3 linked regions of the Mus musculus genome follow. The protein of the gene in region 3 interacts with the protein of the main gene of each other region in a biochemical or structural test. Links are inferred from orthologs where the notes say so. Each region holds a gene or a part of one and is shown on either strand. Other genes may lie near its edges.

Region 1 (10,104 bases), on a different chromosome or scaffold from region 3:
TCGGGCTTTGTAGCAAGCACCCTTACGGGATTATGCTTGACTCTCTATACCCATATTTTCTCATGTCTAAAATGGGATTTGTAAGCAAGGGCACAGCGACATCACTGAATGAGTAGAAAGATAAGTTTATTGGGGCTCAAACCACCAAGGCAATAAACATTCCCCTGCCCCGGGTGTGGGGAGAAGTCAGCAGAATGGGGGGCTTTGAGCTGTTACAGGCTGTTGGGATTGACCGGGAAGCAGGTGCCCTTGCCTGAGGTAGTTGACATTGGGGGCAGACTAAGGGAGATCCCTGGTCAACAGAAACCACCTATAAGCTTCTGTTTGTGCAGCCAGAGTCCCTCTGTTTAGGACCAGCACTGGCATTCTGGGGGGCTGCTTTGGACCTAATAGGATTAAAATAATGCCAACTCCATAAATGTATGTAAAGCCCTAGGCATAGAGTGGGGTGCATAAGTGTTTGGTAGATATTAGCTGATGTATCTGAAGCTGGGGAAAAATTATCTTGAATATCCTTAACCACATCACTCAAGTTTTTAATCTATATAAATGGTTCCAAACTGGTTATCAGCCTCTTGCAAAAGCGGCTGTTCCTTGTAACTATTTTCATATAGACAGAGCTACACCCTGTCCTCTTGATTTAACTGCCCCTTGCCCGTGCTGTAACTCTCCTCCAATCTTTGAGAAAACATCTTCCTAGGAATCAATTCACACATTCATACTACTTCATTCATTAATTCATTCGTCCACATTCATTCATTCACTCATCAATCAATCAACCAACAAATACCTACCGAGAACCTACTATGTACCACATTGGGTTTACCCAGCCCAGCAAAATCCAGAGCAGGAGTGAATGCAAACAGGGGCACCTCTTACATCTCAGATTTGTCAGGGACACCTGCTCCTCCCTTCCCTCACACTCAAAGTCACTGCCATTTCTGCGGAAGGCTTCAGGTGAAGGAATTAGGGGCAGGATGAGACCCTGACAGGCAGCTTCAGACAAGGGAATTGGGTGAGTCTGAGAGTCTGGGTGCGGTCGGCTAGGGCCCACTGCGGGGCACAGGTGAGGGGCACAGGCTGGCGGGCGTGTCCCAGTCCACTGTGGGGAAGCTCCGTGGTCCGTGGGGCGCGGTCCAGCCAGGCGCCTGCAGGGCGAGGGATGCTGCCCCGCCCTGGGAGGGCGGGCCCGGGGAAAAGAGTACTAGAAGCGGCCGAGCCACCGCCCAGCTCTGACAGCTAGCGGAGCGGCGGGTGGAGCACTAATCAGGTGAGCGGCACAGAGAGCACTACCCAGGTGAGCGGCGCGGGGCGCGGGGACCGGTGCTGCTCAGTGCACCAAGAAAGGGCTGGGCTCCCGGGAGATGGACGGAGGTGACCTTCAGGGTCCCAGGCGCTGGTCTACCGCCTTGGCTCTCCTGCGGGTAACTCTCGGAGAAAGTTATTCACGACCTACATACTAAGTCTCTTTGGGATGGCGGGATGCCAGCGGGCCCTGGGCACTCCTTCGAAGCCCTGCGTTAGAGTGAGCCACAACCTACGGAGATCCACCTTGTAGCTGGCCCCTAGCTTGGCCATAGGGATCAGGTGCCTCTTCTGGCACGTTGGGGGTGGGGGTGGGAGTTTGGAGACTCAAAAGACATCGCCCAGGATTCCTGACTCCTGGAGGAATTCCAGCAGGCTCCTTTGGTGCACGTGGAAGCCTTCCACTAGAGATCTTGCTGTGTGGTGCCAGTGAGTTCCACCAGGTTCAGCGGAGGTAGGGGCTATAGCCACCCGCTGCGTGCTTGACCGCACAGGACAGTGCTGCCCAAGCCCTAGTGCGCATGTGTCGGGATGAAGAACTACTGTAACCTCTAACATTTTTTTGTAAGCCAAGTGACTCATTCGTGACCAGTGTGGTTATTTGTGCAATAACCTCTAGATCTGGGTGGAGGAAGTCTTGGGTGTGGCCGTGTTGGTCTCAGAGTGCAGACCCTTAGCGAGAGGCTTTCAAAGGTTGCATTTATGCTGAATTATGTTACTCAAGCACTATTGCAGGGAATCGAGGATGGGACGGGAATGGGTGGGGAGGGGGAGTTGAGACTGAGGCTTAGGATTCCGGCTAACCCTAGCAGGGAAGCAAGTGATTCCTATTTGAAGAAATTGGAATATTTATAAAGCGACCCCCGGGGAGTAGGGTTTCTGGATAATGAGAACATTTGGACTTAGTGACCCGGCTAATTCTGAGGAAAAGAACAGAAACCAGTGTGTAAAAACTATCACTTTCTGAAATTCCAAGATGTTTGCTTCAAGTTTATAGTTCCGTATTTTTATTTATTTACCTTTGGGGGCAGGGGAAGTATCTTAGTTAGGGTTTTATTGCTGTGAACAGACACCATGACCAAGGCAGCTCTTATAAAGGTCAACATTTAATTGTGGTGGGGGTGGCTCACAGGTTCAGAGCTTCAGTCAATAATCCTCAAGGCAAGAGCATAGCAGCGTCCAGGCAGGCATGGTGCAGGAGGAGCTGAGAGTTCTACATCTTCATCTGAAGGCTGCTAGTGGAAGACTGGCTTCCAGGCAGCTAGGATGAGGGTCTTAAAGCCCACACCCACAGTGACACACCTACTCCAACAGGGCCACACCTTCAGTTAGTGCCACTCCCTGGCCGAGCATATACAAACCATCCCAGGGAGACAGGCTGCCACTGCAGCCTAGGCAGGACTGGAACTTACTATGTAGCCCAGGCTGGCTTTCAATATTCAATCCTGTCTCAGTCTCCCAAGTGCAGGGGCTAACAGTGTAAACTACCACCCCCAACTGTTTCCATAAAACTTGAAGTTTAATAACAAAAGCCTTGCTTGTCTGCAACAACAGTCTTTGGTGGTGGTGGGGGGGGGAGGCAGTGCCCATCTGAAAGAATGCTAGTTTTTTTGTTCAGACAGGGCTGGTTTAGAACTTGTGATTTTCCAGGCCAGTACAACCACACCTAGTAATTGTCTCCTTCTTGGTCACTGATCATTTTTGCTTTGTTTTGCTTGTTTCTTGAGATAGGGTCTTACAATATAACCTTGGTTGGCCTCATACTCAGTACAGAGTTCAGGCTGGCCTTGAACCTATGCTACTCTTTCTCCCATGGTTTCCCGAGGACTGGGATTACAGATGTGGACCAGCCATCTTTACCCTAGCCTTTTCCCCTGAGATAGTCATAGTTATCTGTGATGGAGACTAGCCTCCTAAATTCAGAATGTTTAGGAGTTTGGTTTAAAATCTGCACTTACTCCATCTTCTGGGGAGGACATGGATGAGGTCTTTCAGGCTTAAGCTAAGAAGTATTTAATGGATGGCTCACTAAATTGTACACAAAGCAGAAGAGGTAGAGAATTGCTTGAGGGTTGACTGGAAAAATTGATCATTTTTCCGTAGAATGAGTCTATTCAAGGGTTCTCAATCAATGAGATAGTTCACTGGATCAAAAGCATTTGTTCATCATTTTTCGAGATGGGGTCTCACAGGCAGCCCTGGCTGGAACTCCATACATCAGGCAGGCCTGGGTCTATGACACCCTCCTGCCTCTGCATCCTGAATATGCTCAGATGCTTTCCAAAGAACTGTTCCTTAGGTGGGTGTGGGCGTAAGTGCCTGTCATTCCAACATTCAGGAGGCAGAACCCAGAGTACCTCAGGTACAAGGCCAGCATAGGCTACATTTAGAATTCTAAGCCAAACTGGGCCAAAGAATAAGACCTGTCTTAAAATATATAAGCGAACTTCTTACTTCCTGCCAGTGAGCTCAAGTGTCCTAGGTGAGTCTTATTTATGATTCAGATGCCTATTTGCCTAGCTCTCTCAATAGCCAAAGACTAAATCTTCACTGCAATAGACACATAAACATTCACAGTACACACACCTCAATTAAAAAAAAATCTATGTTTAATAAGTAAATACAATAAAAAAACAACAGCTAAAAACAATGAATACTTTTTTTTGGAAAACCACAATTTATTGGTTAAAATGTGGTTTTTCTTAACAATGTGACTGTGCACAAAAGCATTCTGTACTCAGCAGCCTGTGTGTTGAATGATTCACCGAGTTAGTGTTCTGGCCAAAGCTCTATTTTATTTTTAAATCTGTTTACTATTTCAGCATGCTATGTAGTTCTGGATGAACAAGCCAGAGAATTTTTCAGGGAAGTAACTAAAAATTTCAAAGGAGTCTATTTTAAAACATCAAAAACGTACACTTTTAAACTAGTATAGGACAAACCTGAATTAGGAGTCAGGAAACTTTGGAACCTTGTCCCCAAGATGCCAGTGAGATGGCTTCTGGCCACCGAATCAGCTCTCAGATCCCTCACTTCACAGTGGGATGTTTTCTCCAGCCAGTGTCACCAGATTGCTAACAAAATCAAAAACAGCTCCGTGGAAGTTCTTTGGGAACTGGAAATCACTCTACAAGTGCTAGGAGGGTGTCACTATCGCGACATCCTGTGGAATGTGTCACATAGCTGTCCAAAGTGTCATCCAAGGCCCACGTGCGTCACAGTGAAGTCTGCTGCCTCTAGGGTTTCATTGGGTCACATTGGAAAATGGGCCAGTCTTTTAAAACTGTAGCATACTTAGGAGGGAAAGGGATGTCTTTAGGGAGCAGCGTTCGTTGGTTAGTTTTTGGAGACAGTCTTGCTATGTAGCATAGGTTAATGGTAAACTCAATCCTCCTGCCTCAGCCTTTTGAGTGCTAGGATTAGAGGTGTGCAGCACCACTCCCAGCAACAGATTGCTCTTGTTTTTGAAAGAGTCTGCCCGTGCAGCTCAGACAGGCTCCACATTTCTGCTCCTCTTGCCTCAGTCTCCCTAGACCTGAGGTGGCAGGCGGTGAGCATCCTTCCTTGTAAACTTTGCTACTTTGAAGGACTGAAACTCTTTGTTGGTTTTGTGGCCCCTTGTATGTGCATTTATCTAGGGATAGATATTAACAGCCTGGATTGGTAGTTTTCAACTATATGTGGTTTTGGCCTTAGCAATTTGCCCATGTTTGAAAACATTTGGGGTTGTCGTAAGTTATAGGGTAGTGTGCCACTGGCATCTAATGGCTTGAAGCCAGAGATATTGCTGAAGGGGTGCGAAAAGGTTTCTCAGAAGTGCTAAGTTCTCTGCCCACTCTGAACCTCAAACCTATTTCTTAACAGGATCTCACTACATATCGCTGGCTGGTCTGGAACCTGCTCTATAGATCAGAGCTGGCCTCAAACTAACAGAGATCTGCCTGCCTCTGCCTTCTGAGTGCTGGGTGCCATTTTGCCCAGCCTAGGTTTGATCTTCTTAAGGAAATTCTGAAGCCAGGAACTGTGGCTCTTGCCTTTGATCCCGGCCACTGGGAGGCTGAGGAAGGGGGGCTGCTGTAAGTGCTCAAGGCTAGATTGAGACCCCGGAGCTTTGGTGTGGTTCAGGCTGACCTCAACCTCATGGGAGTTCTCACGCTACAGCATGCTGAGCTCACAGGCACGCCACACTACGCTCACCTAATCATGTTAGTTCTTGGGGAAATTGAGTAAAACATCACCGGTGGGCAGACGAAGTCAGAAGAGTCTGATTACTTCCAGATCCAGGTAATTCTCACAGTAGCAAAATGATGTAGTCATTCTGAGCTCTGATCCAACCCCCACCTCGACCGGCCATCCCCCACTCCCCCCCCCCCCCCCCCGTCCAAAGCTACCCTCCCATGGCTGCTTGAATTACCTAGTGCTAGACCGTTTGCCAAATATGCCGATGCTGTTAATTTAATCCCCAGAAACCTAAGAAAGAAAAGTTTCCAAACCAAAGCTGCTCTCTGCTGCACTCTGAGGGATCTGTTGAAAAGTGGGGCAGTTCCAAGCATCTTGTGGTTTTGTAGGTGTGGCACAGGAGCAAACGCCGGAGGGAAACAGGGTATGTCTGCAAACCAGTCCTGAGACAGCTTTGTGTAAGGCAAACCTGTTTGGCAGTATCCTGAATGCAGTTGCTTCTGTTCACATTGCCGCCCAACTCACCTTTGTTTGGCTGATTTACTGCTGTTGTATTTGGAACATCGAGTATCTCAAAAAACAAACAAACAAAAAAAAAAAACCCAAAAAACAAAAAAAAAACGCAGGCACCACAGCCAACACTTGAGATGCTGAGGCAGGAGGATCATAAGTTCAAGGTCAGGATGCGCTTCCCAGCTCACCAGCAAGCTCTCAGATTTGAACGTCCCAGTAGAGTCAGGCAGCACTGACCATACTCTTTGTGCTCATACATCTCATGTCCCTTGCTGGTCTGTGGGCCCTGTGATTGTGTGGAAAGTGATAGCTCAGAGCAGGCAACAGGTGTGCCAGTGGAGGCTAAATAACCAGGCAGCAGCCATGTCAGCTGTCTTTGAGATCTCAGTAGGAACCAACAGATAGCTTTCCTCTCATGTCCCAGAAGCGCTGTGGCTGGGAAGAGGGCTATACTTCCCATGAATCCTTGCAAGGGTAGAGAAACTCAGGGAAGCAGGTAGCCAAGAGAAGCTGTACCTTGTACCATCTTTCACCGAGAGAAGAGACAGGACATTCTCAACCTACTCCTTGGCCCTCTAGGTCTTTTGCTCTCTGGCTTCAGAACACAAGCTCCTGACATCAAGGTCTGACTTCACAACCTAAGTGGGTTTGGAATTTAGCTATAATGTATCTGCGCCTGTCCACAAGATGTTTTTACAGTCCAGCATCATTGACTTAGGCAAAATGATTGTACACTGACTGGAATTGCCCATGAACTATTTGGGATGTTTCATCTCATGAAGCTTGTAAATTGTTTTAGGCTCGAATACCAATAACCAACCCCCTTTGGCTTTTCTCTCTTAGGAAAATGGCAGACAGCTTTTCGGTAAGTATTTCATGTCTGTTTCCTTAGCCCCATACATACTCGCATGAGTTAGAAGGTTTCATTTCTACCACCGAACTTTCCCTTTGACCCTCCTCCTGACCCTTGGCCTGTTAGTGGTAGCTTTGCTTTTCTAGCAGCAGATTCCAGGGAGAGGTATGGCCTCTGTAACAGGGATGTCCCTCCTGGAAGCAGCAGGACCAATGGCATGGTCTGCTCATGCCAACACCTGCAGCTATTTCTCATGTCGGTTAGAAAGCATGTGTTTATAACCAGCCAGTTCCTGGTGTAAGCTAGAAGAGCTTAACCCACCCTGATATGCCATGATGAGAGGCCAGAACAAGACATGATACAAGACAGCAGAGGATCAAACTCAAAACAGCACAATAGGCGAGGGAAGAGTGTGAATCTTCTCCCATGTCCCAGCTTCTTAGATCACAAATGCCTGTAGTCCCCTAAGTTCTGTGTAGTGAAGGAGTCCCATCCTCTAATTGTTTGTCTTTCTTTATAGCTTAACGATGCCTTAGCTGGCTCTGGAAACCCAAACCCTCAAGGATATCCGGGTGCATGGGGGAACCAGCCTGGGGCAGGGGGCTACCCAGGGGCTGCTTATCCTGGGGCCTACCCAGGACAAGCTCCTCCAGGGGCCTACCCAGGACAGGCTCCTCCAGGGGCCTACCCAGGACAGGCTCCTCCTAGTGCCTACCCCGGCCCAACTGCCCCTGGAGCTTATCCTGGCCCAACTGCCCCTGGAGCTTATCCTGGCTCAACTGCCCCTGGAGCCTTCCCAGGGCAACCTGGGGCACCTGGGGCCTACCCCAGTGCTCCTGGAGGCTATCCTGCTGCTGGCCCTTATGGTGTCCCCGCTGGACCACTGGTAAGAAGGAAGTTGTTTCAATGGGCTTGCTGTACAAGTGGAGGGGACATTGGTGGGGGGTGGGGGGGAGGGATTTAAGCCTGCTGCTTAGAGCCATGTCTTAAGGGCCAACCACAGGGGTGTAATTAGTCAAGTGGGAAAAGGAATGTGTTCATATTGAGTTTACTCTGTGACTTGTTATGATAAGACATTGATAAAGGTGCTTTAATATAAATCAAGTTAAGATTGTAGTAATAATGAGTGGTGCACACCTTTAGGAAACAGAGGCAGAAGTGTCTTTATAAATATGAGGCCAATCTGGTCTACATAGAGATCCTATTTAAAAAAACAATTACACTATGAGGCAAAGCTGTATTATTAATAAACACTAACTGAGTTCGGTGGCTTATTCTTATAACCCCAGTAAATACTGAGAGCTTTCAAAGCTGCAAAGCTTTAGCTCAAACCAGGGATGCAGAAAAGGAAAATGATGGGGTAGGGGAGACTCCTCCATCTCATACCCATGCAAGGAGCCTTCCAGTTTACCCACCCACTGGGAGCAACTCCAGGAAGTATATATAAGGTCAAATGCAGATCAGAGCAAGAGATGGGAGTTTGGGAGACAGCAGAACCTAGGAGGAAACTTCATAAAGGAGAGACCAGAGGCAGGGACAGCGCTCTGGGGATGTCTACCACACCTTAAGCACTTTGCTCAACACTTGTGGAATGAACTGTAGAAGTGCTCATTCAACACAGACTTGTGTGCTAAGCATTTTGTTGGTGACCTGCAAGCACAGAAGCCCCAGGTGACACAAACCTTTCCTTAGATAGCTGAATTACAGTGCTGTATGTCATGTGTCAAAGGACCCAGGGACCCCGTGCATAAAAAGATTGTTGGTCAACCATCTAGCTTAAAATGTTAAAAAAAATGAGTCCGTATGAATGAATTATGGGTTGAAATGGGCCCAACTGATGGTCCAAGAACATTTGGTTGTTAATTTGTTAATTTCTCAATTAACTTTTGTGTACATAGGGAGCACTCTCTACCTTCCACTTCTTTAGGCCCTGGACAAGGTGGTCTCAGAATCTACACAGGGTTCTGTGTTGGTCACTGCATTGTACCAATGTTTGCAATGTACTTTACATTCCCCAAGAGAGCATAGTGCCTTACTGACCCTGGAATGCTTGTGTGTCCCAGACGGTGCCCTATGACCTGCCCTTGCCTGGAGGAGTCATGCCCCGCATGCTGATCACAATCATGGGCACAGTGAAACCCAACGCAAACAGGTACAAGGGTGACCCCAACAACCCATCTGTTGAATGGTTTTGAAATAAAGACTATCTTAATTAAGAAAATTTTATAAGTTACACAGTTGAATCCAAGCTGGGCTATCACATGGACTATCTCATAATCAGTACTTGATCGTATGTCATTTTTTGTTGGGATGTTACAGAGTGAATGGTAACATCCTCTACTCTGTGTTTTGGTGTATGTCATATGCTTTCATTGTCATGAGTGCAGGGTGAGGGCTGTTTGTGGTGGTTTGAATACACTTGGCCCAGGGAGTAGCACTATTAGGAGGTATAGCCTTGTTGGAATAGTGTGTCACTGTGGGCATAGGCGTTGATACCCTAGTCCTAGCTGCCTGGATGTCAGTATTCTGATAGCAGCCTTCAGATGAAGATGTAAAACTCTCAGCTCCTCCTGCACCATGCCTGTCTGGATGCTGCCATGTTCTCACCTGGATGATAATGGGCTGATCCGCTGAACCTGTAACCCAGCCCCAACCAAATGTTGTCCTTTATATGAGTTGCCTCAGTTATGGTGTCTCTTCACAGCAATGGAGACCCTAACTAAGATCACACCATTACTTCCTCTTTAGACAAATAAAACTGAGGCTCAGGTCTTATATTTACAGAATGGCAAGCTAGGAAGCCCAGCCTTCTGGGTAGTTGTTATTTACTTAAAGGGTTTGAGAAGATGGCAAACCTTTTTTTAAAATTTTTTGTGGGTTTTTCGAGACAAGGTTTCTCTGTGTAGCCCTGGCTGTCCTGGAACTCACTCTGTAGACCAGGCTGGCCTCGAACTCAGAAATCCACCTGCCTCTGCCTCCTAAGTGCTGGGATTAAAGGCATGCACCACCACACCCGGCTTGAGAAGATGGCAACTCTTATTAAGGAAAACATTTAATTGTGGCTTCCTTATAGTTTCAGAGGTTTAGTCCATTATCATCATGGTGGGAAATATGGCAGAGGGCCAGCAGACATAGTGTTGGAGGAGCCAAGAGTTCTACTTCTGGATCTGTATGCTATGTTACTGGATGTAGCTTGAGCATAGGAAATTTCAAAGCCTGTCCCCACATTGACATACTTCCTGCAACAAGGCCAC
Region 2 (10,904 bases), on a different chromosome or scaffold from region 3:
GAGTGGTCACTTCTGTTCCCCTAGAACCAAGCCCTCCTACATCCTTTGTCATCTCCCTTCTGGGTAGAGGCACTGTCCTGGCCACACTGTGCCCCCTGAAGAAGCCTAGAGAGCTGAGAGCTGCCTTCCCTTCTGCTACTGGGCTGTCACCCGCTGCTATGCTATCCCCTCCTCTCTGTGGACTAAACAGAAGTTCTGTGGTCTGACTTAGTAAGTCAGAGCCCGCCTTTGGTCTTCAGCCCCTTCCCAGACTCCTTCCTCTTTGTGGGTCACTGGATGCCTTCTTAGCCAAAGCTGTGGCCTGTGCATCTCCCACCCCCACCCCAGGACCATTTTTTTCTTTTCCTTTTCTTTTAAGATTTATTTATTTATTTATTTAATGTATATGAGCACACTGTAGCTGTCTTCAGACACACCAGAAGAGGGCATTGGATCCCATTACAGATGGTTGTGAGCCACCATGTGGTTGCTGGGGATTGAACTCAGGACCTCTGGAAGAGCAGTCAGTGCTCTAAACCGCTGAGCCATCTCTCCAGTTTCCCGGGGTTTTGTTTGTTTGTTTGTTTTGTTTTGTTTTTGTTTGTTTGTTTTGTTTTGCAACAGAGTCTCCCTACATATCCCTGGGTGTCCTGGAACTCACTATGTAGACCAGACTGGCCTTGAACTCACAGAGCCCTGCCAGCTGAGTGAGGGATTAAAACAGTGCACGATCAAGCTGGCAACCAGTACAATTCTTTTTTGTTTGTTTGGGTTTTTTTGTTGTTGTTTTGGTTTTCGAGACAGGGTTTCTCTGTATAGCTCTGGCTGTCCTGGAACTCACTCTGTAGACCAGGCTACCCTCGAACTCAGAAATCCATCTGCCTCTGCCTCCAAAGTGCTGGGATTAAAGGCGCATGCCACCACTGCCCGGCTTTTTTTTTTTAACTATTATTATTTGTAATTCATTTTATGTATATAGGTGTTTTGCCTCAGGTCCGAAGAAAGCGTTTCATCATCTGAAACTGGAGTTAGAGACAATTGAAGATGGCTGTAAGCTGCCATGTGGGTGCTGGGAATTGAACTCTGGTCCTCTGGAAGGGCAGTCAATGCTCCTACCACTGAGCATCTCCCAGCCCCACCCTGTGGTGAGCCTTACAACCTCTCTGTGAGGTCATCCCTTTCTTGTTCAAGATCAAGTGCTTAGCTCCCGTAGGGTAACACAGGAAGACAGTCTGAGGGACATTTCCTTTGAGGCCAGCAGAGGGCGTCTCCTCCATAGCCACCCTTGGGTGACTCAGAAAAGTGCAGTGATGGGGTGTGTTTCCATGGGAGGCCAAGGCTTGTGTATTCCATTCTCTTTGGCCTTCTCCTACGGGTACCCCTGCTTCCTGGACTCACCAACATGAAGTCTTCACCCTGCTATGGATGGGAAAACTGAGGCTGGGGGCCGGGGGTGCAAGAGACCCTACCAGGAGGGTGCCAGTCTATCCTAGAAAATGAGATCTTGCAGGCACCTGCCTCCCAGCCTCAAGATATTATGCCCCAGATTTGAGAGTTGGAGGGAGAGCCTAGTGAGGCTTATAGCTGAAGCCTTCCAGAACCTTGGCTCAGTTCCTGCAGCTGTTTTATGTAAAGTGGGGACACTGGTACAGATGAACAATGGTGGCCCATGAGTTGCTTGCGCTGGGTGGGACAGGCTTCAGCTGAGAACAGCATCCCATCCCAAGGCAGCAGATCCTGAGCTGAGATCTGGAAGACACCTCCTCCTGGAAGCCAGGAATAAGCACGCAGTGGTAGGCAGGCACGTCCATCTCTGCCAGCCCAGTGAGCCACCTGCCCTCTGGAAGACCTGCGTCTGGGCCCTCCCATCAGCCTTCCCACCCCACTCCTCATCTTATGTCTCTGAAAGGGCCCACTCAGAATCCCCAATCACATTACAGGAGTGTGACCTCATGCCAGATTCCCATTGTTAGGGAGGGGACCTGTTGAGTGCCACAGAGTTAGCGCCTTCTAGCCTAGTCCTCTAGCTGCCCACTGATTCCAGGAGGGTAAGCCTGCTTCCTCTGGGCTCAACTGCTAAGGGATCATTTTGTCCCTCAGAGACTGTTTCCTCCCTACGCATTTTGCATTTGCAGGCATAAAAAGTTAGTAGTGTAAGGAAGACCAGAAGCTACCCAAATGGCATTGGTCATGACGTACCCACAGCAGAACTTGGAGTCCTCCACCAAAATCTCATTTAACTCCACAACAACCCTCATGAGAACTGAATATTATCCCTCATGCATAAAACGATAAACTAAGGCTCAGAGAGACCAGCTAACAAGCACAAGGCTATACAACAGTTTTTAGTCCTTACCTATATGAGGTCATACTATATTGCCGAGCTAGTCCTAAGTGGTCCTCTTGCTTCAGTCTCCTAAGAAGTTAGTGGTATAGGACTATAAAGCTAGCCCAAGCTGTCTCCACTATGTCGCCCAGGCTATCCAGACTGCTCTGGAACACATGCCGATGTGCCTGGTCTAGCCTCCTTAATTTCAAGTATGTGTCATCATGCTCAGTGGTTTCTGGCTTTTATTAAGACAAATGCGGTCCGGCTGTTCATCCATCCACCTCCCACTGCTCTGTCCCTGTCACAGTGGGACACTGGCTCACCCTCTGTGGTCACTTAAGCCCTCTCTGTGCTGGGCTCTCTTTGGCCTGGAAAGCACAAGAGAGGTCACTGAGACCAAGAACACATGGAGGCATGAATGGAAGTGAAGATGGACCAGGTTGGGCGGGGCCCCTCACATAGACACACACAAACACTCTCCCATGAAAGGGCTGGATTATGGGGAGCAGAGGCAGCTGCCTTTATTGAGGGCTACAGGCTGGCTGGCTTCACTCAAAGGCCACGCACTTAATCTTGAAGTCTCCATCCGCCGCCATGTAGTTGATGGCCTCCATGTTGAGGCGGTTGGGGAACTTGAATTCATGTCCGTCTGGCAGCTTGATGGTCAGGTCAGCCTGGTCAAAGGTGATGCACACCTGGTGGATGGAGAAGGGCAGTGAGCTGGGCCTTGGACCAGCTCAGAGCCCCGGGGACAGGTTCTGTATAGGTGAGGTCTATTATGTTGAGAGAGTGATGCCATTCAAGGGTAATCACACAGCAGGGAATGGTCAGCCTCTGGCTCTGACCATATTGCCCAGCACACCCAGGGCCCTGCCCAGCGCCACCCACCTCTGTGATGCTCCCGGGCTGGAAGGGGAAGGCAGGTTCCCGGTGTTCGGTTCCCCAGGTCCCATCTTCCTTGGTGTTACACACAATGGTGTTGGCGTCTCCATGGGCATTGAAGCGAGGATTGAAGTGTAGGCACAGGTTGTTGCTGTCTTTTCCCAGGTTCAGCACAAAGCTAGGGGGGGGGGGGACAGGTGGGCTTTCAGCCATGTTGGATGGTGCTAGACCCCAGCTCACTGAGAAAATGCAACATCAGCAGCTGGCTATGGACATGCCATGTTGAAACTCAAGCAACAGGAAGGCCAGGAACTTCGATTCTACTTCTGGTCTCACCATGTGAACTGAGCTAGACCCTGCAGATTCTCTCTGACTGTACAGTGGTGGTGGTGGTGGTGGTGGTGGTGGTGTGTGTGTGCGCACTAGGGGAGCTCTCTCCCAGACATTGATAGTTGTCAACCCCTTTGGTCAAGAGGGGAGATTCTCCAGATGGTGTCCTATCTGTCTTGTGTATCTGAGTCCCTGGTGCCGAGTACAGCGCAGGGCACACCATAGATTTTCCCTCACTGTGGAGAAGAAGCGTAAATAAGAATACGGAGTTTGAGCCTTTAATCCCAGCACTCGGGAGGCAAAGGCAGGCGGATTTCTGAGTTCGAGGCCAGCCTGGTCTACAAAGTGAGTTCCAGGACAGCCAGGGCTATACAGAGAAACCCTGTCTTGAAAAACCAAAAAAAAAAAAAAAAAAAAATGGAGTTTGGCTGGCTGTGGTGGTGCACGCCTTTAATCCCAGCACTTGGGAGGCAGAGGCAGGTGGATTTCTGAGTTCGAGGCCAGCCTGGTCTACAAAGTGAGTTCCAGGACAGCCAGGACTATACAGAGAAACCCTGTCTTGAAAAACCAAAAAAACAAACAAACTAACAAAAAGAATACGGAGTTTGTTGCACGGAGCCTGGTAGCGGTGTTCACCGTGGAGGTATGGTAGGAAGAGGCGAAAGGGCTCAGGAACTTACTAACAACAGACAACAGACAGCAGCAGCTGCCTGCTTGATGGAACTGGCCCTGGCTCTCTCCCCTCCACCACTTTCCCTCTGGCTTTATTAGGAACCCCAGGCTCTTAGGGGTGTGGAATATGGAAGTACACACTTTCTATCCCAGCTCTGGGGAGACGAGACATGTGGGTCTTCGTGGAGGCCAGCCTGGTCAACACAGATTCCATGCTAGCCAGGGCTATATAAGGAGACCCTGTCTTCGGAGAAGAAAAGAAAAGAAAAAAAAAAGTCGAGGCCTCGTGAGCTTGGGTGACTGGTCCAAACTCACATGGCTGCTGGGGGCGGGGGGGGGGGGGCGGTGGGGCGGTATGAATGAGGAGGAAGCTCTGGAAAAAAGATTGAGCCCCTGCAGGGCACCCTCAGGCAGCAGGCACGTGGGTGACCACTCCCTCAACGCCTCTCCCCCGCTCCCTCGCGCCACCCCCGCCCCCCCCCCCGCGGAAGGGGAGGGGCAAGCCGGAGTCGTTGAAGCAGCAGCTGCTTTAGTTTAAGAAACTTCAGCCGGGAGAAAGGAGGCGGGAGGGAGGGGGAGACCACGGCGACGTCGACTAGACCCAGCGAGGAAGTGACTCACCCAGAAAACGCAGCATCTGCAGCTGCCCGTTAACCAGCTGCGGGCTGGGGAATGAGCGGTTCCGGCCGGCCACGCCCATCGCAACCTAAATCTGCGAACCTGGCCCCCTGCCCGCTCCATTCTTTTCTCCAGTCTCACCTCTTGGCGTCCGAGGCCACCTCTCCCCGAACTTTGAGACATTCCCCAGGTTTGAGATTCAGGTTGCTGGCGACCAGACCCTGTGTAGACAAGAGCACCGAGCTGTGTTTAGGTTGGAGTTAGACCTACCTGCATTGGGCTGGGGTGTAGGGATGGGGTCATTCCCACCCTGGAGTACCCTGACCAGCCCTAGGGGAAGCCCGAGGTGGGATGGGCTGGTCAGGATAGGGTGTAAGTTGATGGGGAACGACTTCATTCCCAGCAGGGTGTCAAACTTGTGACTGTCCTACAGAACAAGCCCTAAAAGACATCAGCTTGGAGACCTGGACTTAGAGTGGAGGGGAGATGGAGTGTGACTTCCTAAATCCTCATTTTGCTGATGGAAGGATTAGGCGACCACTAGCCTAAGGCCTTGCTTCTCTGAGATAGAGAAAACAGCCTTTGCCTCCCCAATCGGCTTCAAGGCTCTCTGCTTAGATGCACACCATCGGGAGGGAGCGGAGAGGCTGAGGGGCGGTGGGACTGGGCAGCCCGAGAGTGGCAATGTGGACTTAGCACGCTAGAGAGCCCAGTACATATCAGGGCACTGCTGTGCACCTACCTGGGTGAGTTGACAGGAGTTCATTTGGGCAAGGGGTTTCTTTGACATTTGAACCCTATACCTGAGGGCTTGCCTGTCTGTGCAAATGCATGCAGTTTCCTCCGCCCAGCCCTGACCCGCCTCCACTGACCAGCCTGGAGCCTATCTTAGGCCCGGGAGGGTTTTTTTTTTTTTTTTTTTAGTTTTCTGGAGCAGAGGGTGACCAACTGAGCCCTGGCCCTGTGACTGGGGACAGCTGCAGCGGGGGAGGGGTCAGGAGACTCTAGAGTGGAGAGGAAGAGTGAACAGGGAATGGCCTTGGCCAAAATGTCCCCCTGCCTCCCTTTTCCCCGGGTGGCCACACCCTTCCCACTCCCACTTCTCAGAAAACGGCAAAGCAGCAGAATACTGGACTTTGCAAGGCAGGTATGCGGCCAGAACTACGAGAAGTCCAGAACATTCTTAAGCCAGAGACGCTTAAGGTTTCAGGGGGGAACAGTGACAGCCACCCCCATTTTACAGATGTAGCCACTGAGGACCAGAGAAAACACCTGTCCAAGGCAGCACAGCTGGGACCAGAAGCAAGTCCCCAATTGTCTACTCTCCTGTGCCCATCTGCTTCTGCTCAGTCCCCTAGACCTTGGAACAGAGGGTCCCGCACTCACACAGGCCATGATTGAAGCTGAAGCGAAGAGATTCCTGAGACCTGCTCCACCAGCAGTCAGAAGACTCCACCCGAGAGACGGGCCCCAGGCCCGCTCCGACCTTTTTAACTGGATCAGACCCGGTGAGTCCCGCCCCTCCCCGGGAGTTCAGCCAATTGCATGTCAGGACAAGGATGGGGGCCACCAGAAGTGGAGTCTATGGATTATAAAGTCAATTTTGGAGCAGAGGTGACCAGTCAGAGAGGAGACCCCCCCTCCTAGCCCCTCCCTCAGGGTCCTGGCGCCGCCTCTTATTCTTCTCCATCCCTCTTTCCACTAAAAAAAGATTTGTGCTGTGGCAGAGATTGGGGGAGCCAATGGAAAATAGTTTAAGGATGAGTTAAACCTAAGAGTTGGCGGGATAGGGCCTGGGGCCAGCAGGGAGAAAGCCCCTAGGTCCCAGCGCAGCTGGTGGGGGAGGGGGATGTGTGTATAGATGCCTGCAGAGAATTAGAGCAAGGCTCTCTGAAGAGGCTGCCGCCTGGCAGGCCAGGGTGTGGCTCTCGCTGTGACTCCCACTGTGGGCTTCTGCGGGAGGACTGAGGAGGACCACAAAGCACAGGCCCCACCAGGGCTTTCCCCGGAAGCAGAGGACTGTGGCTACGGCTCAGTGCAGCTCACTAGGGCTAAAGAAAGCCTGGGCTGGGCGCCAGGCCTGAGGCTGGTGTCCTTGGCTCATACCTTGGACTTCACCCCACTGCAGGGCCTGCAGAGAGTTCTGAGTGCCTTGGCTGTGACATCCCCGGGGCCTGAGAGGCAAGCCTCGGGGCAGTCCAGGGTGTGCCAGATGTGCCCCCTTGGTCTCATTCCCACTTTTAGAGAAGAGACTTGGCCATCCCTTCCCATTCATTTAGCAGTTATTTTCCTGAGCCCCTACTGTGTGTCTAGCTCCGTGCTGGCCTCAGAGGGCATGAAGATGAGCCCCTCCCAGGCCCTGCTCTCAGAATTCACGGTTTGGATAGAATGTGACTATGCGTTGAATTAAGAAATAACACCGCACTGGCACTGAGCAGGGCAAACACTCACCATGGTGGGGTAGAGACTGACATATGAAGCAGGGATTTGAAAGGACCCAGCATTCCAACTGGGCAAAGGCTTGGAGATGAGAAGCCCGTGCCTGGGGAACGAGCTGCTTACCATGTAGGAGAAAGCTGGGCGTTAAAGATCATGAAGGGTCTTGTGGGCCAGGTAAAGGGTTTCAGTGTCTTTTACCTGAGGGTCTTGGGGAGCTACAGAGGGTCATGGGGTGACATGAGAGACTTAGGGAGGTTCACTGAGCAGAGCGGAGGGTGTGTGATAATACAGGCACTTCAAAGCTGCTCTTGCCAAAAAGCCTGGATTCCTCCCGTGCCCTGGAAGGTTACTGAAAGGGTGAGTCTGCCCTCTCTGCCTTTGTCTTTGTATCTCTGTCTCCTTCCTTTGGCTCAGGCTCTCGCTTCCCTCCGCCTTCCTGACCTGACCATCACCCTTCTAAGCCAAAGGCACGAAGACTAGTCACTGTCTCAAAAATGCCGAGCCAAGCCTTGCAGGACAACCCCTCCCCCACCGGAGTGTTCCTGAGGTAACTGCACACCCGGGAGAAGGAGTGACCCTCTCCCTAGAACTTACACATCCCCTTAAGCAATATGACTTCTTTAAGCCATCGTACAGAGCCAGTCAGTCAGCCCAGGTATGCATACCTCTTGTTATCTGTGCTGATTCTTTCAATATTTAAACTTAAACTACATGGTGGCTCATGCCTGTAACACCAGCACTTGGGAAAATGAGGCAGGAGGATTAGGAATTCTCATCTGCTACATGAGACCCTGGCTAAAAAACAAAAAACAAAAAAAAAACAAAAACAAAAAACAAAACAAAAAACAAAACAACAACAAAAAACAAAAAACGGGCAGTGGCGGTGCATGCCTTTAATCCCAGCACTTGGGAGGCAGAGGCAGGTGGATTTCTGAGTTCGAGGCCAGCCTGGTCTACAGAGTGAGTTCCGGGACAGCCAGGGCTACACAGAGAAACCCTGTCTCGGAAAACAAAAACAAAAACACAAAAACAAAAAAACAAATTAGCAGCTATCCAGGCAGTGGTGGTACACACCTCTGACCCCAGCATTCAGGATGTAGACAGAGGCAGCTCTCTGTGAGTTCAAAGACAGTCTGGCTTACAGATTGAAGTTCCTGGATAGTCAGGAGTACAGAGAGAAACCCTGTCTTAAAAACCAAACCAAACCAAACCAAACCAAACCAAACCAAACCAAACCAACCAAATAACCAAACAAAAATTAGCAGCTAAAACAGCAACAACGGCCTCTCCAAAAGCCAACTCACATTAGTACCCCAAAACAAACTTGGGGTTACTGAGACTCTTGATCTGTTCCCTTTCCCAGTGTGGCCACATTGAATAAATCCTTTTGTGTTTGTTAACCTGATGTCCCCTTAGCCTCTTTTTAGGCAGGAGTCTTACGCAGTACAGCCCGGCCTCAAGCTTGCTGGGCTAAGGCTGACCTTAAACCTCTGACCCCCCTGCTCCTGCCTCTCAAGTTCTGGGATTTCAGGCCTGTGACAACTGACTTGTTGGGGATTAAACCAGACCTTCACTCGTGCTAAGTGAGCATTCTACCAACTAGTTATCTCTTTAATTGGTGTAGAGGCCCAGCTCCATTGGTTGGCTGCCAGAGCCCCCTCTCCTGCCCTAAAACCTCTGGTTAGTTAGAGGGGTATTTGGCTCACGCTGGGAATCAGGTGTCGGGGCAACAGGGGGTCCGTGTAGCCGTTCCCCTTCCGAAGCTACCATCTTGGAAGAGTTGTGACGATAAGGGGTCATTGAGTCACATCTGGAGGCCAGGCCAGCAATCCTCTTGCCCTACCCAGCCTCTTCCTCCCAGGCTCATCTCTAGCTCCTCCCTCCAGATGTGGAAAGCCCACCCAGGATGTGAGGAGAGGGAAACCCGCAGGGCACAGGGGAGATGCTATCACATCTGGAGTGAGGTTGGCCTGCCCCATCATCTCCAGCCCCGCCCTCAAGTCACCACCAGAGAACCCAACCGCAGCAGCTTCAATCTTTCCTCTGAGGCCTCCCCAGACTTCAGTTACAGGGCGGGACTGTTGGGGCCCTGGCCGGTTAGTTCCTCTACTATTCCAACTGTGTGTGCCCCTCTCCCACATCAGGAACAGGACAAAGACATCAGGCAGAGTTCCAGGTAGAAGACCAGAGATGAGGCAGTCAATTGCCAGGCAAATCCACGGGCTGGGAGCTCAGGGCTCTGGGAGCTGTTCCTGCCAGGTCATGACTGGAATAGAAGACCTACACCAGGAAGTGTGTGTGTGTGCACTTCTCTGTAGGTGCTGTCTGAGCAGGCCGGCCATGGAAGAGCATGGTATAAGGACTAGTCTCCTGACCATGGCCTGGAGATTCTGGTTTATGCTTCCAACCCTGTTTACCTGTTTATTCATTTTCTCCATTTGCAACTGTACGTGTGAAGTCCCTCTTTCCTTCCTGAGGGTCACGTAAGGTGGGACTCAGGTCTGTGGCTCTTCATAGGTGACCTTTGCCTTGAGACAGTCCTGCTCTGTAGCCCGGGCTGGTTTGGAGTTCGAAGCAGTCCTGCCTGGGATAACAGGTATGAGTTCACCATACCTAGCTGAGCTCAAGATTTACAGTCTCCTTGTCGCCTCTTCCAAGGTTACCTTCCCTGGTGTTTGGCAGACCCTCTTCTGGTCCTCTCCCACCCGAGCTGTGGTATGGATTTGCCAGATGCCAATAGCCCCTGTAACCGGCACTATGGTTTTTAAGGCAGGGTTGTCAGAAATAAGGTCCCTTCCTTGCCCCACACCCACAAAGTGCTCAGGGCCTCCTGGTGGTGGCACCCACTTATCTGTCAGGCCCAGTGCCCGGCGCCTTGCTTTCAAAGCCTATCTCATTTGAGCATATCAGTCTCTGCCCACCTGGTGAATAGCCGCTGTGGTCAGATCCCAAACAGAGGCAGGATGGGGAACAGAGACGAGCATGGATTTGGGGGGGGCAGGGTGTAGTCCTGGGCGTTGGTTATTCTGAATAATGTCCACATTCTAGAAGGTAGCAGTATGCCGATCATTTCAGGGTGAGTTGAGGATTGCAGGTATTGAGGTATGCCTTTTTCCTTCCTTGTTTCCTAAGGCCAAAGGTGGGGCCCCTGATGATTCTCCCTCAGGCTCCCACAGTAGCCATTGGAGTCCTCTGGAATTCTGTTCAGAAGCCCAGCCCTTGGATCTGGCCTTAGCTTTTCCATACAGGTCCCAGCCAGCAAGGTCCTTCCTGACCCTCCAACTCCTACCCCTCCCTGACAGTCTGTACTGCTTGCGGCCAGCCCTGGGAGGGAGCCACGGAGCTCATGGGTACCATGCACAGCACCCACCAAGCTGGCTCCAACACAGAGTTCTTGAAGTCAGAGCAGGGAGGGACCCCAGAGATGCCATGGCCTGCTCCCCCATATCTTCTGATGCACTTTAAGGATGTGGAAACCAGAGAGGGAGGGTACTTGGCTGTGCTCTCTCAGGGAGCTGGGGCTGAGGAGAGCCTTTTATGAAGTGTAGAAGGGCAGCTTTGACCTCCCCGGCTTGGCTGTTGTGCTGTCTTGAAAATTCTAAACAGCTCAGTCCATTGCTTTTGAATTCAGCCTCAATCAGCTTTTCTGGATATC
Region 3 (10,617 bases):
GTCTGAGTGTTCGATGCTTCCATGCAAGTGCAGAGAACATTTAGATGTGAATGTGTGTTCACACCAGTGCAGCAAGCATTCAGATGTGTGTCCATGTGATTCTGTAGATGGATGTGAGCATTTGTGACCATTTGTCTGCAAGGGCAGATGTGTGCCGTGTGAAGAAGCATGCACGTGGCTGTGTGATATGTGAGTGAGTGCATATGTGTGGGTGTTGCACTGCACGTGTGTGTGTGCCTGAGTGTGGGGGACATCCCTGGCATGGTGGATGCTCTGGAAGTAAGGAGGAGTGTGCACCCCAGGCAGACCCAGAGCTGAAGGTTTGGCTTACCTGAGGAAGTCTCTGACGACAGGCATGCACTCAGCATCCACTCTCATGATGACGCTGCTGCCCACCACTTGCCACAGGGCCTGGGCCTCGGGGTTGGTGCGCAGGATCAGCGTGTGGGCACAGAGGCTCAGGTCCTCATACCCCTGCCCTGTCACCTGGATGAATAGGTCGCAGCCCTGCTGGCTGTCAAAGATCTGGCCCAGTGCATCTGAGAGCTCTCCAGAGAGGTCCAGGATGTGAAGCCCCGTGGTATCTGGGATGGACAGAGGCGGTTGCTGTGTGAGGCATGGGCTTTGTGGATCATTTTCTCTGTGAGTTTGAGTCCCATTTGATACCCCCACACACCCCCACCAGGAGTCAGGATCCTCATCTGAACCAGACATCCTGGTACCTGGCTCTGCCCAGAGGCCTTGTGGAAAGATGCAGAATGGGAGAGGCCTGAAGGGAGGCTGCAGCTGCCTTCTGAACCCCACAAGACAGCAGCTGGCTCTCTGTACCCCACACTCAGGCACTTCCTCTAGAGGAGACACCAACCCTAAGGCTGTGCCTACTCTTCACAAACCTCCAGTAACTGCAGAGGCCACCCTCCTATGCCCAATGAACAGCCTTTCAAGTTAGGGTCCCATTGCAACTTTACATTAAAACTTGAGGGTTCCCAGTCCCAAGGGGACAAGTCCTGAAGGGGTATGGCATGTCTCGGTGCATCCCCATCTTTCCCTGCCTCCCAAAGCCTAATCCAAAACCACATACCACACCATGCATTGCTCTGTAAAGGTTTGGCTTGATTTTTACATTTGGAGTGGGTGGACTGGCTCCTGTGTCTTCTCACACCACAGCCCCAGTCCCTCCTAGCTTCCCCTTGGGTCTCGTTTCACACTGTTCCCCAGCCAGTGGGGCCTCCCAGATGCCTGCACAGCTTGGTCATACTCACGAGGCTCCTCCGGTCTGAGACCCTCCAACTCAGATCAACTTATACCCAAGCCTGTCTGACATTGTGGGATTCGACACCCTCAGGCCTCAGTTCTCCAACTCAGGACAGAAGGGCATGTCCCAGGACCACCCCCACCTCCCAGGAGGAAGTCACAGATGGCAGCCAGGAAGGAAAGCTCCCACGGGCCTCAGGCACTGGAGATGAAGAGTTGTGGCAGAGTCGGGGTTTGGCAGGTTAGGGCTTCGGGCACCAGTGTCCTTGAACATAGCCAGCGAGAATCACTACGTCATCACGCACAGCCTGTGGGGGGGCGGTGCTATGCAATATGCCTGAGCATAATAACCATAAGACACCGGTCCTTAGAGAGCCACCCCTCCAGCACACAGTGCTGTTTGTACATGGGATACAGTCCCTTACCCATAACCCACTGCCCTGATCGAGGAGCTTCTCTGACGTGTGTAACACGGGGGCTCTCTTGGAGGATGTGGGCTCCCAGCCACATCCAGGGTGCCACTTTTGACTATTTACACAGGGGTGTTGGTATAGGCAGGGGCACGGCTGCCACTTCCCCTAGGTGCTGGGAGGGCAGGGCAGCTCACCGTTGGAGCAGACCACGCCTGCGTCCTTCTCGTGCCCACAGCGGCTCACCATCCAACCCAGGGATCTGCAACTGGCCAGTGAGGACTCGGTCCCTGTACATTCCACCTCATCCAGCATGATCGGTCCCTTTCCTGTGGGCACAAAAGGAAAGCCAGGGGCCACACTGGAGGAGGAACCGGACCTTCAGCGGGGACCGGGGCTGATCACCAGCTCAGGATGGGATGCTTAAAGAACATTACTCAGGGACCTCAGCCACACCTGGCCCGAAGGCAGCTCTGCCCAGTGCTTGGGTGGCGTTCTCATAGCCCAGGGCCCGGCAGACGACGTGGGCATCCAAAAGGTTCCAGAGGTTGTCACACACTGTCCCCCACCGGCCTCTGTAGAAGATCTCCACGCGGCCCTCATTGGCTGAGGCCCCGTTAACCAAGCGCATGTCTCCATCTTCTGTACCTGTCGGGAGAGGGGAGGTCAGCTGGGAAGAGGGCTAGCCTGGTTTGATGTTCACTCCCCATGAATTCAATGCTCTGTGCTCACTAACATTCTGGAGTTGCTCTTGAACCACTTCAAAACGCCCTCCCCGTGTGCCGTGTGTGTGTGTGTGTGTGTGTGTGTGTGTGTGCCCACTAAGAAGGGGTGAAAGCTCTGATGACCTCACAGAGGCCATCCATGGTCTTTCTATCTCTCAGCTCTGGGTCTTTTGCTCCAAGAGGGCACCCTGGCTCTCAGCCTACAGAGTGAACTCGAAGAGGTTCCTTGCTGGCTCTCTGGAACACTGGCCTGAGGGGGAAGGTGGGTCCTGGGTTCCTAGACACAGGCAGAAAGCAGATTCACCTCGGCTTATGATGGGTGATGTCCTGACAACTCAATGCCAACTGTCTCATCCTTGGAGTCTCTGGACTGTCCCCACTTAGCAACGGGACATTGCAATGTTCCTTGTTCCCTCCAAAGTGTGGGGCCGAGGGAGCTGTGGTGTGGGGTCCCATTGTAAGAGGAGTGGGGTACACAGCGCTGGTCCCAACTCGCACATACAGTTCCCACCTCACCCCTACAGTGGTTGCCTAAAGCGGACAATCCTGGACTGGAGACAGTCTGCACTGTGGCACAGGCAGCCAGGACAGTCCTGCTCTCCTTTCTCTGGAACTCCCGTCTCTGCCCATGCTCACAGGGCCAGCTGGGCGCTTGAATTGGGGTCACCCATACTAGAGAGGGATACTCAGCTGACGGTCCAGGATGGACAAGGCTCTCAGACCCACAGTGCAGTGTGTGAACTGCCCCCCCCCCCCAGGGACTCTCTGCCACCCTAACCTGTGCCCTGAGACACCCCCCCACACACACTCCAGGACAGCACGGGCTGTGCTCTCCCTCCTTGGCCCACTGATGAGATGAGAAAAAATTTCTTGGCCTCTTCTTCAATACCTGCATTTCACTTGGGTGCGGGGGAGCACCAGGGGCCATACGCCACCACCATTTAGAATGACAGAGGAGCCACATGGGAGAGAATCCTGAGACATGGCTCCTTGCAGGTTGCCATGCAGCTTTTCTGCAAGGCAGAGGGGGACAACCCACAGAACAAGGCGTTTGGGACCTTTCGTGGGGCAGGACTCACCTTGAGTCCCTGGAACCAGCAAGAACACAGAGAGGAGCCACAGGAGAGCCATTGCCTGGCCTAGAAGCCCAACCCTGCAGCAGAAAGAACAACAAAGTTAGACTGGCAACAGCTCTCCAAAGGAGACTGGCAGTTCCATGGCTCCCTGTCCTATTTGTAGAGGATGGGATGGTGTTGTGGGTGGTACTCTTGTGTAAGGCCCAGATGGCTATGTGATGGCTCTCATGCAGGCCTCTCTCACATGCTCTGCAGGACAACCTTCAGGTCAGCAAGAGTCCCCAGATGAGGCAAGTGGCTTGAGGGCTCCTGGCAACGAGAACCCAGGAAGCAAACAAGAGCTCTTTATCTTTAGCTGGCCTTATCTGTAAGTAGTAGCTAGCTGCCTTTGGGGTGTGCAGGGGACAAGATTTGCCAGTCTGTGAGGACATTGTAGATGAGGTTGGAACTCTCAAGGGGAAGTGACAGAGGCAGTGTAGAAGGGTCTGGGACTTCATGATGTGACCTGGGGATGTGGGTCAGGGTCAACCACCACGGTGCTGACACACAGGACTCAATACTTAGACTCTTGCCTGTATGTAGGATGTGCCCCACCCAGGCATTGTCCCTCAGGCCCTGCAAGGAGCGGGGCAACCCACAGAACAAAATGCAGCAGCCTCAATGGACTCTGGACTCGTTCTAGGCCCAGCAGGCAGCTTGGGACTGGTAGTGGATGGTGCTACAGAGCTCTGTCTCCTGGGCAGGAACTGGAAGCCACAAATTGTTACTCCGACCAGGGGCCCAGAGACAAGCAGTAGAGATATTTCAGGTCCAGTAGAAGCACCAGGATTGGCCCCTCCCCAGCCCTCTCCCACCGACCAACCCCCACCCCAGACATTCTGCACCAGAGCAGCACGAGCAAGCCCTCAGGGGGCCAGGGCACTTGTAGCCATCTTGGCAGGGGTGAAGAGATCCTAGGATAGGCTTTGGCTATCCGACTGCGGAAGCAACAGCAGAACTGGAACTCCCCGGGAGTCTCACGCTGAAAGGAGAAGGCTGTTGCCTGGTGATAGCCAGAGAGGAAGCCTGTCTCCAGGAAATAACAGCTCACTCTGGGATTTACAGCCCAGGCAAGCCAGTTAGCTATGTATACCTCTATGTAAACCTCATGTTAATATCCCCTAATAGACTCTGGGCCATTAATGGGGGAGGCCACTGGATTCCTCTTAGTGTGGCCACATTAAATAAATCTCCTTTTTCGGCTTTTCACTGTTATGTTTTTAATTGGACCATGGAGGATGGGTGGCTGAGTCTGGCTATCAGGGGAGCTTTCTGGGCATAAGCTCTGACCGTTGAGTCCTATAACACACTGATGGGTGGGACTTGGCCCTTAGTTCTGTGCACCCCACCCCCACCCCCCAACTGGTTCCCACCAGACTTCTGCATCTAGTCAAGCACAGACCCAGAACAATATACAACTCACAAAGTTCCCACATCCCTAATGAGAGCCGAAGCTAGAGAGCCAACTGACTCCAGATGACACAGCCAGTGAGCACAGGTTAGGGTCTGCCCAGGGGTGGCCTCCTTCTACCACAAGGACCCTGGTGGAGGTGGAGGGAGCCAGAGAGTCCCACATCCGTGTGGCAAGGCATTACCCCAGTTTTATCCCAAGAAGGCCTGGGCTCTGGGAAACCTGAGTCCCAGGCAAACTGCACTGGGTGCCCACTCCCTGCATTTACTATAAACTGTGGTCGTAGGTTTGTCCATGCTGGGTCAGGCGCTCTAGGCCTTGGGAACATTGCAGTGTATGTGGATGTTGCTGTCCACTGGATGACAGAGGCTGTTTCTGCCCTACTCCTTTGTGTGGGAAGATGGGACAAGCCTGCCTATGCTGGCTCATTCAGTACCACTGAGTAGGTAGGTTTAGTCCTGGGAGAGAATCTACAGACCCAGGAGGGGGCCGGGGATAAACTCTAACCCACTCACCCCTTCAGCTGTTCATTCAGTGGACATCCTGCCCAACTGTATTGGCTCCTGTGCTCTGGCCTGCCAGAAATCATGCTGTGTAGAGTGGAGACTCACCTGGGAGCAAGAGAGGGACTCAACTGTCCCTCAGGCAGCGAGGCAGTGGCTGAAGGCAGTCCTGGAGCCTCCTTCCTGGCTGCAACTGGAAGCCTTCTGTAGACTGTTCAGCAGAGAAAAGCTCCACCATGTGGCTTTCCTCAGCCTCGTCCCAGGAAATGCTTTGTAAACCTCACCTAGTTTCGATTTTCAGAAAACACATGACAGAGGCTGCTTCTGGGGTTGGCTGTCAGCAAGGCTAATAGCCTTCTGCTTGCTGCTCTGTGGGGCAGAGGGCAGGCACCCAAGCGCCCTGTGCTGAGCTGATATACTGAGCTGATGAAACAAATATAAGTCCAGGCTAGCCAGGCAGGCACCCTGTGGGGCAGCTTGGGGGATGGTTGGAGCAAATACATCTCCAGGCTGGCCAGGCAGGCATCCTGGCGAAGGAGAGTGGAAAGATACAGAAAGAGGGCCTAGGAGCAGCAGCTCGGGTCAGACCGTGTCTGTGAATGTGGATGTGGGCTGGACTATCCTTTCCTGGACCTGGGAATGCTGGCTGCCCTTAGCTTATGCACAAACCTACCATGCGCAGAGCGAAGGTATGTGGGCCACAGAGTGGTCCTGAGAGACAAGAATAGCGATATAAAGGCTAAAAGCAGAAAGCAGGGCTGGGGGCTAGAGTGGCTTGGTGGTTAAGAGCACCACCTGCTCTTATGGGAGGCCTGAGTTCAACTCCCAGCACCCATGTTGGTTGGCTCAGAATAGCCTGTAACTGGCTTCAGGGGCTCAGACTCTGTAGGCACCCACACCCAAGTGTGCTCATGCATGCACACATATAATTTTAAAAATTAAATCTTAAAAGGTTTCTACAATACCTTTTTTTTTAAAGTAGGGCTAATTGGGCATGGTGGAACACACCTTTAGCTGGAAGGCAGAGGCAGGTGGATCTTTGTGAGTTAGAAACTAGTCTGGTTTACATAGTGAGTCCTAGGTTAGTCAGGGCTACACAGAGAAAGCCTGCCTCAAAGGAAAAAAACAAAAACAGAAACAAAACCGAAACAAAATCCTAAAACAACAACAACAACAACAAAACTACCACCACCAAAACTGCTTCAGCGGGTAAAGGGACTTGCAGTAACCAATCCTGATGCTATGAATTTGACCCCTGGGACTCACTGTAAGAGAAAACTGACTCCTGTACGCTGTCTTGATCTACACAAGTGTACCGTGGCATGTATGTACATGCATGTAGACACACACAGTAAATAAATGTAAAAATATATATATATAATTCAAAGAGGCCTAGGGAGATGGCTCAGTAGTTATGAACACGTGCTGCTCTTGCAAAGGACCCAGGTTCCATTTGAAACACCCACATGGCTGTTCACAGTCACCCATAATGCCATTTCTAAAGGATATAATGCCCTCTCCTGATTTCCATGGTCACCAGGCACACACGTGGTACACATACATGCATGCAGACAAAAGTTCCAAACATGTAAGATACACTAAAATTACAAAGGCAAATTTCCCCAGACTTATGATGTTTAGACAGTGGCCTAATTCCCAGCAGCTCCCTGCAGCTCCCCTGGCACCAGCACTGTAAGGTTTCCTACCTCAAGACACCCAACTGTCCTCTTGAACACTATTCAAAAGGTCTGACACAAATGGCCCAGGAGGCAAAGCCAGGTGACTCAGAATTGGTATAAAATCACCCTGTTCCTTTTCAGGTGTATGGTTCAGGAATTCACCGGCTGGGTTTCTGTCCTTGGTGTCTACTTTTTTTTTTTTTTTTTACACCAGTTCTGGTCTGGCAAATCCTTTTATCCTGTGCCTTGAGTTCTTTGTCCTAGGTATGACAACAGAGAGGAAGGCTCCAAGGCCCTGGAGACCAAACCCAGGCAATAGCTGGTAAGCAGATACACTGGCTCCCATACACGCCTGACTTGGTAATGCAATCTCCCAACGGCCACAGTGACCGACTCTCTAGGATTCAGACCAGGCTCTGCCTGGCTTATACCTATTCCCCTTTCTCCACAAGAAACCCAGGTCTTGGTTTCTACTTGGGGAGTCCTCAGTCAGTGCAGCTCAACCTGGGCTGGCCATGAGAATTACCTGTGAAGACACCAATGCCCACATCAGCCTGTGGGAGGAGGGGCACTGGTATTTGAAAGCCCAAGGGAGTTCTGGGGTACAGTTCCTTTGGGATCAGCAAAAAGCTTGGAGCCCCAGAGCTCAGGGTTGGACACTCAAGGACTGCTTCCCTTGGACATGAAGTTTCCATTGGCTAAGGGGTCATGCAGTCCTAGGAAACCCTTGCTGAGAGCTACAGGCAGGGCTAGGACTGACTCTGCAGACATGCCCAAGCTTGTTGAACTGTGGCTTCTGTCACCGTTGGCTGAGAATGTGAAAGGGGGGATGGAGGTGTCCCCTGGAGACAAGAGCTGGGAGAAGAGTCAGTACCTGGACTGGCCGGTGGCTCCAGGAAACAGCAAGTCTCTGGTGCCTCCATCCTGGGTCAGCCCCTTTGTCAACCAGGGCCTGGGATCTGGCTTCCACTGGAGGACAGGAAGCCAGGTCACAGAGACAGGGCTATCACAGGGTGTGTAGTACACAGCAGGCCCATTGTCTATGGTTCTTATCATTCTTAATGCTGAGACCCTTTAATACAATTCTTCATGTGGTGGTGACTCTGGACCATAAAATTATTTCATTGCTACTTTTTAGCTATAATTCTGCTACTGTTATGAAGTACAATGCAAAAGTATCTGATCTGTAACCTCAAAGGATTAGAAACTGAGAACCACTGTTCTATGTCTACTCCAAAGCCAACAGATGGGTGGTTAATGGGCCCAGACATTGTGACACAGGGGGACTTCCCAAGAGGTCAGGCCCAGGGAACATTCAGATCCCTCGAGCTGCTCGGTGATGCATGTGACACATCTGAGACTTCTGAGGGGATGAAGGCGGGTGACCCTGCTTCCACTTCAGTCACACAGGACATGCATGACAGCCTGGCCATCCTGGTCCCCCCCCCCAAACTGCGCTTATCTTTAACCACAGGGGTCTGAGGGTCACAAGACCTCTTCAGGGTAATGTCCTGAAGATGTCAGGGCCACAGTGACCTATAGCAGACGCCAAGTCCCATCCTACCACTGTGTGCTCAGCAAGTCACAGACCCTCAGTGCCAAGGCAGTTGTTAACTGCAAAGACCCCAGTAGAATAGCAGCATTGGAAAGAAGTGTCCAGCTTGGTGGTAGCCACGCCTTTAATCACAGTACTTGGGAACCAAAAGCACACAGATCTCTGTGGTTTTGAGGCCAGCCTGGTCTACAGAGTGAGTCCTAAGACAGCCAGGGCTACACAGGGAAACCTTGTCTCAAAAAACCTAAATGAACGAGTAAGTGTCTAACCCTGGAAGGCATGGGGCTCCCCTCCCGTCACCTCATCTCTTCTGCTCTGCACCTGTGGCTTCCTATGCCCAGCCTTGGAAACCAGGCCCAGTCTCCATTTCTCTGGCCACAGAAGACATCCCCCACTGCAACCCTGAACAGCGGCTTTGGGATGACCTATCTTCTACATAGAAAATGGAGGACAGGGAAGACAGAGAGAGACGCCTGCATTCCTCCCCTTGCCTACAGACAACTAAGGTCTCAAACTGGAATTTTCCCAGGGATTCTCACACCTGAGAAGGGAGCTTGTGCCAGCCAGAGGAGACATTCGTCTCCTGGAAGGATTCCACATGGTCTGACTTGTCAGGCTACCTGCCCAACCCAGGAGTCAGGACCAGGCACAGTGCTGGGTCAGTGATGGGCAGACCCCAAAGGTGGGCGTGGGAGTCACTGTACCTCTATGTGTACACACACACACACGCGCGTGTGTGTGTGTGTGTGTGTGTGTATGTGCGTGCATGTGGTATATGTATGTATGTATGTATGTATGTATGTATGTATGTATGCGTGTGCACGCATGCACGTGTTAAGAGCACAGATGCCACAGGGATCATGTGAAGGTTAAGAGACCAGCTTCTGGGTCATCAGTTCCCTCCTTCACCATGGGTTCTGAGGATCACTCTGTCTGTCAGGCTTGTGTGGCAGGCACTGTTCACACTGAGCCTCCTTGTTAGCCCAGTCTGGACCTTTTCCTTGTCCCACTGCCTGATGTGGCCACAAATCTTTCTCTACTCATCACTATTCCTTGTCGTGGCCTGTGGAGGTTGGGATTCCAAGCCTGGCCTATTGTGTCTGCTGTAGTTCAGGATCCAGCACTTCGGGCTCTGTCCTGACTCTAGTAATTGCCAGAGTGGGAAAATGGAGTAGGACAGAGCCTGAAGGGCTGGAGCCAGTCTCTCCGTACAGCTCTTCCCATCAGACCCAAGCCTGGGAAGCCTAGACGGGGCTTCACTTCCTGGGCCTCATTTGGAGAGGTGAGGGGCCATTTCATGACCCCAAGGCTTGCATCCCACCTCTTTAGACTTCCTGGGGCAGAGCCCTTGGCAACAGCCAACATAGACAAGAGAACCACATTCCCCTGACACTTTATTGTTTATAAAACAATGGAAAGACACAATCATTGCTCAGGGAAAGGAAGGTATGTGGAAGGCTCCTCAGCGAGGGGCCCAGGTCTCTCTCAACCTCTCTCATTTCATCTTTCAGCTCAGAATCACACAACCGAACACAGTTGACACACATCAAGGAGGTTTGGCTGAGCTCCCAGCACAACAGTACACGAAGACCTCAGCACCACAAGTCAGCAGCAGCCTGCTGTACTGAGGGTAGTCAGGCCCCAGTGGCAGTGGCTTCCTGTGGAAGGGGTTTGTGACGGTCATCAGGGCCCTGTGCCTACAGCAGTACCGGTGTCCTGTTCTAAGGGTGCCGGAGGCAGGTGAGGTGCTGCTGCCTGCAGAATGACCTCTGAGCCTGACTCTGCTGCCTTGGCTCTTTTGAACATGGACAGAACAGGACAGCAGAAAACAGTGAGGCCTCCCTAGAGAGAAGGCTGCTAAACACCCACCAGGAGCCAATGAGGGCAGGTCTCCAGTCAGGTGCAGCCCCTCCCTCAACCACTGCTGAGGGGTGAAAGCATGGCAGCCCTTGGAAGTTGCAGAGG

Evidence for each region.
Region 1: the proteins of Lgals3bp (region 3) and Lgals3 form a complex in vitro, tested with the Homo sapiens proteins (4 studies listed by BioGRID). The link is inferred for Mus musculus from reciprocal best matches to the Homo sapiens genes LGALS3BP and LGALS3.
Region 2: the proteins of Lgals3bp (region 3) and Lgals1 form a complex in vitro, tested with the Homo sapiens proteins (2 studies listed by BioGRID). The link is inferred for Mus musculus from reciprocal best matches to the Homo sapiens genes LGALS3BP and LGALS1.

The regions. Positions count from the first base shown.
Region 1 is NC_000080.6:47,372,683-47,382,786, forward strand, and holds the start of Lgals3 (galectin-3), read left to right. Parts: upstream 1-1,177; 5' UTR 1,178-1,270; exon of another isoform or gene 1,271-1,297; intron 1,298-6,840; 5' UTR 6,841-6,844; coding exon 6,845-6,862; intron 6,863-7,370; coding exon 7,371-7,736; intron 7,737-8,913; coding exon 8,914-9,002; intron 9,003-10,104. UniProt on the Homo sapiens protein: Galactose-specific lectin which binds IgE. May mediate with the alpha-3, beta-1 integrin the stimulation by CSPG4 of endothelial cells migration.
Region 2 is NC_000081.6:78,922,097-78,933,000, reverse strand, and holds Lgals1 (galectin-1), read right to left. Parts: upstream 6,277-10,904; 5' UTR 6,206-6,276; coding exon 6,197-6,205; exon of another isoform or gene 6,054-6,196; intron 5,958-6,053; exon of another isoform or gene 5,032-5,957; coding exon 4,952-5,031; intron 3,369-4,951; coding exon 3,197-3,368; intron 3,004-3,196; coding exon 2,857-3,003; 3' UTR 2,536-2,856; downstream 1-2,535. UniProt on the Homo sapiens protein: Lectin that binds beta-galactoside and a wide array of complex carbohydrates. Plays a role in regulating apoptosis, cell proliferation and cell differentiation. Inhibits CD45 protein phosphatase activity and therefore the dephosphorylation of Lyn kinase.
Region 3 is NC_000077.6:118,396,260-118,406,876, forward strand, and holds the start of Lgals3bp (galectin-3-binding protein precursor), read right to left. Parts: upstream 5,701-10,617; 5' UTR 5,527-5,700; intron 3,543-5,526; 5' UTR 3,521-3,542; coding exon 3,469-3,520; intron 2,313-3,468; coding exon 2,121-2,312; intron 1,994-2,120; coding exon 1,862-1,993; intron 585-1,861; coding exon 332-584; intron 1-331.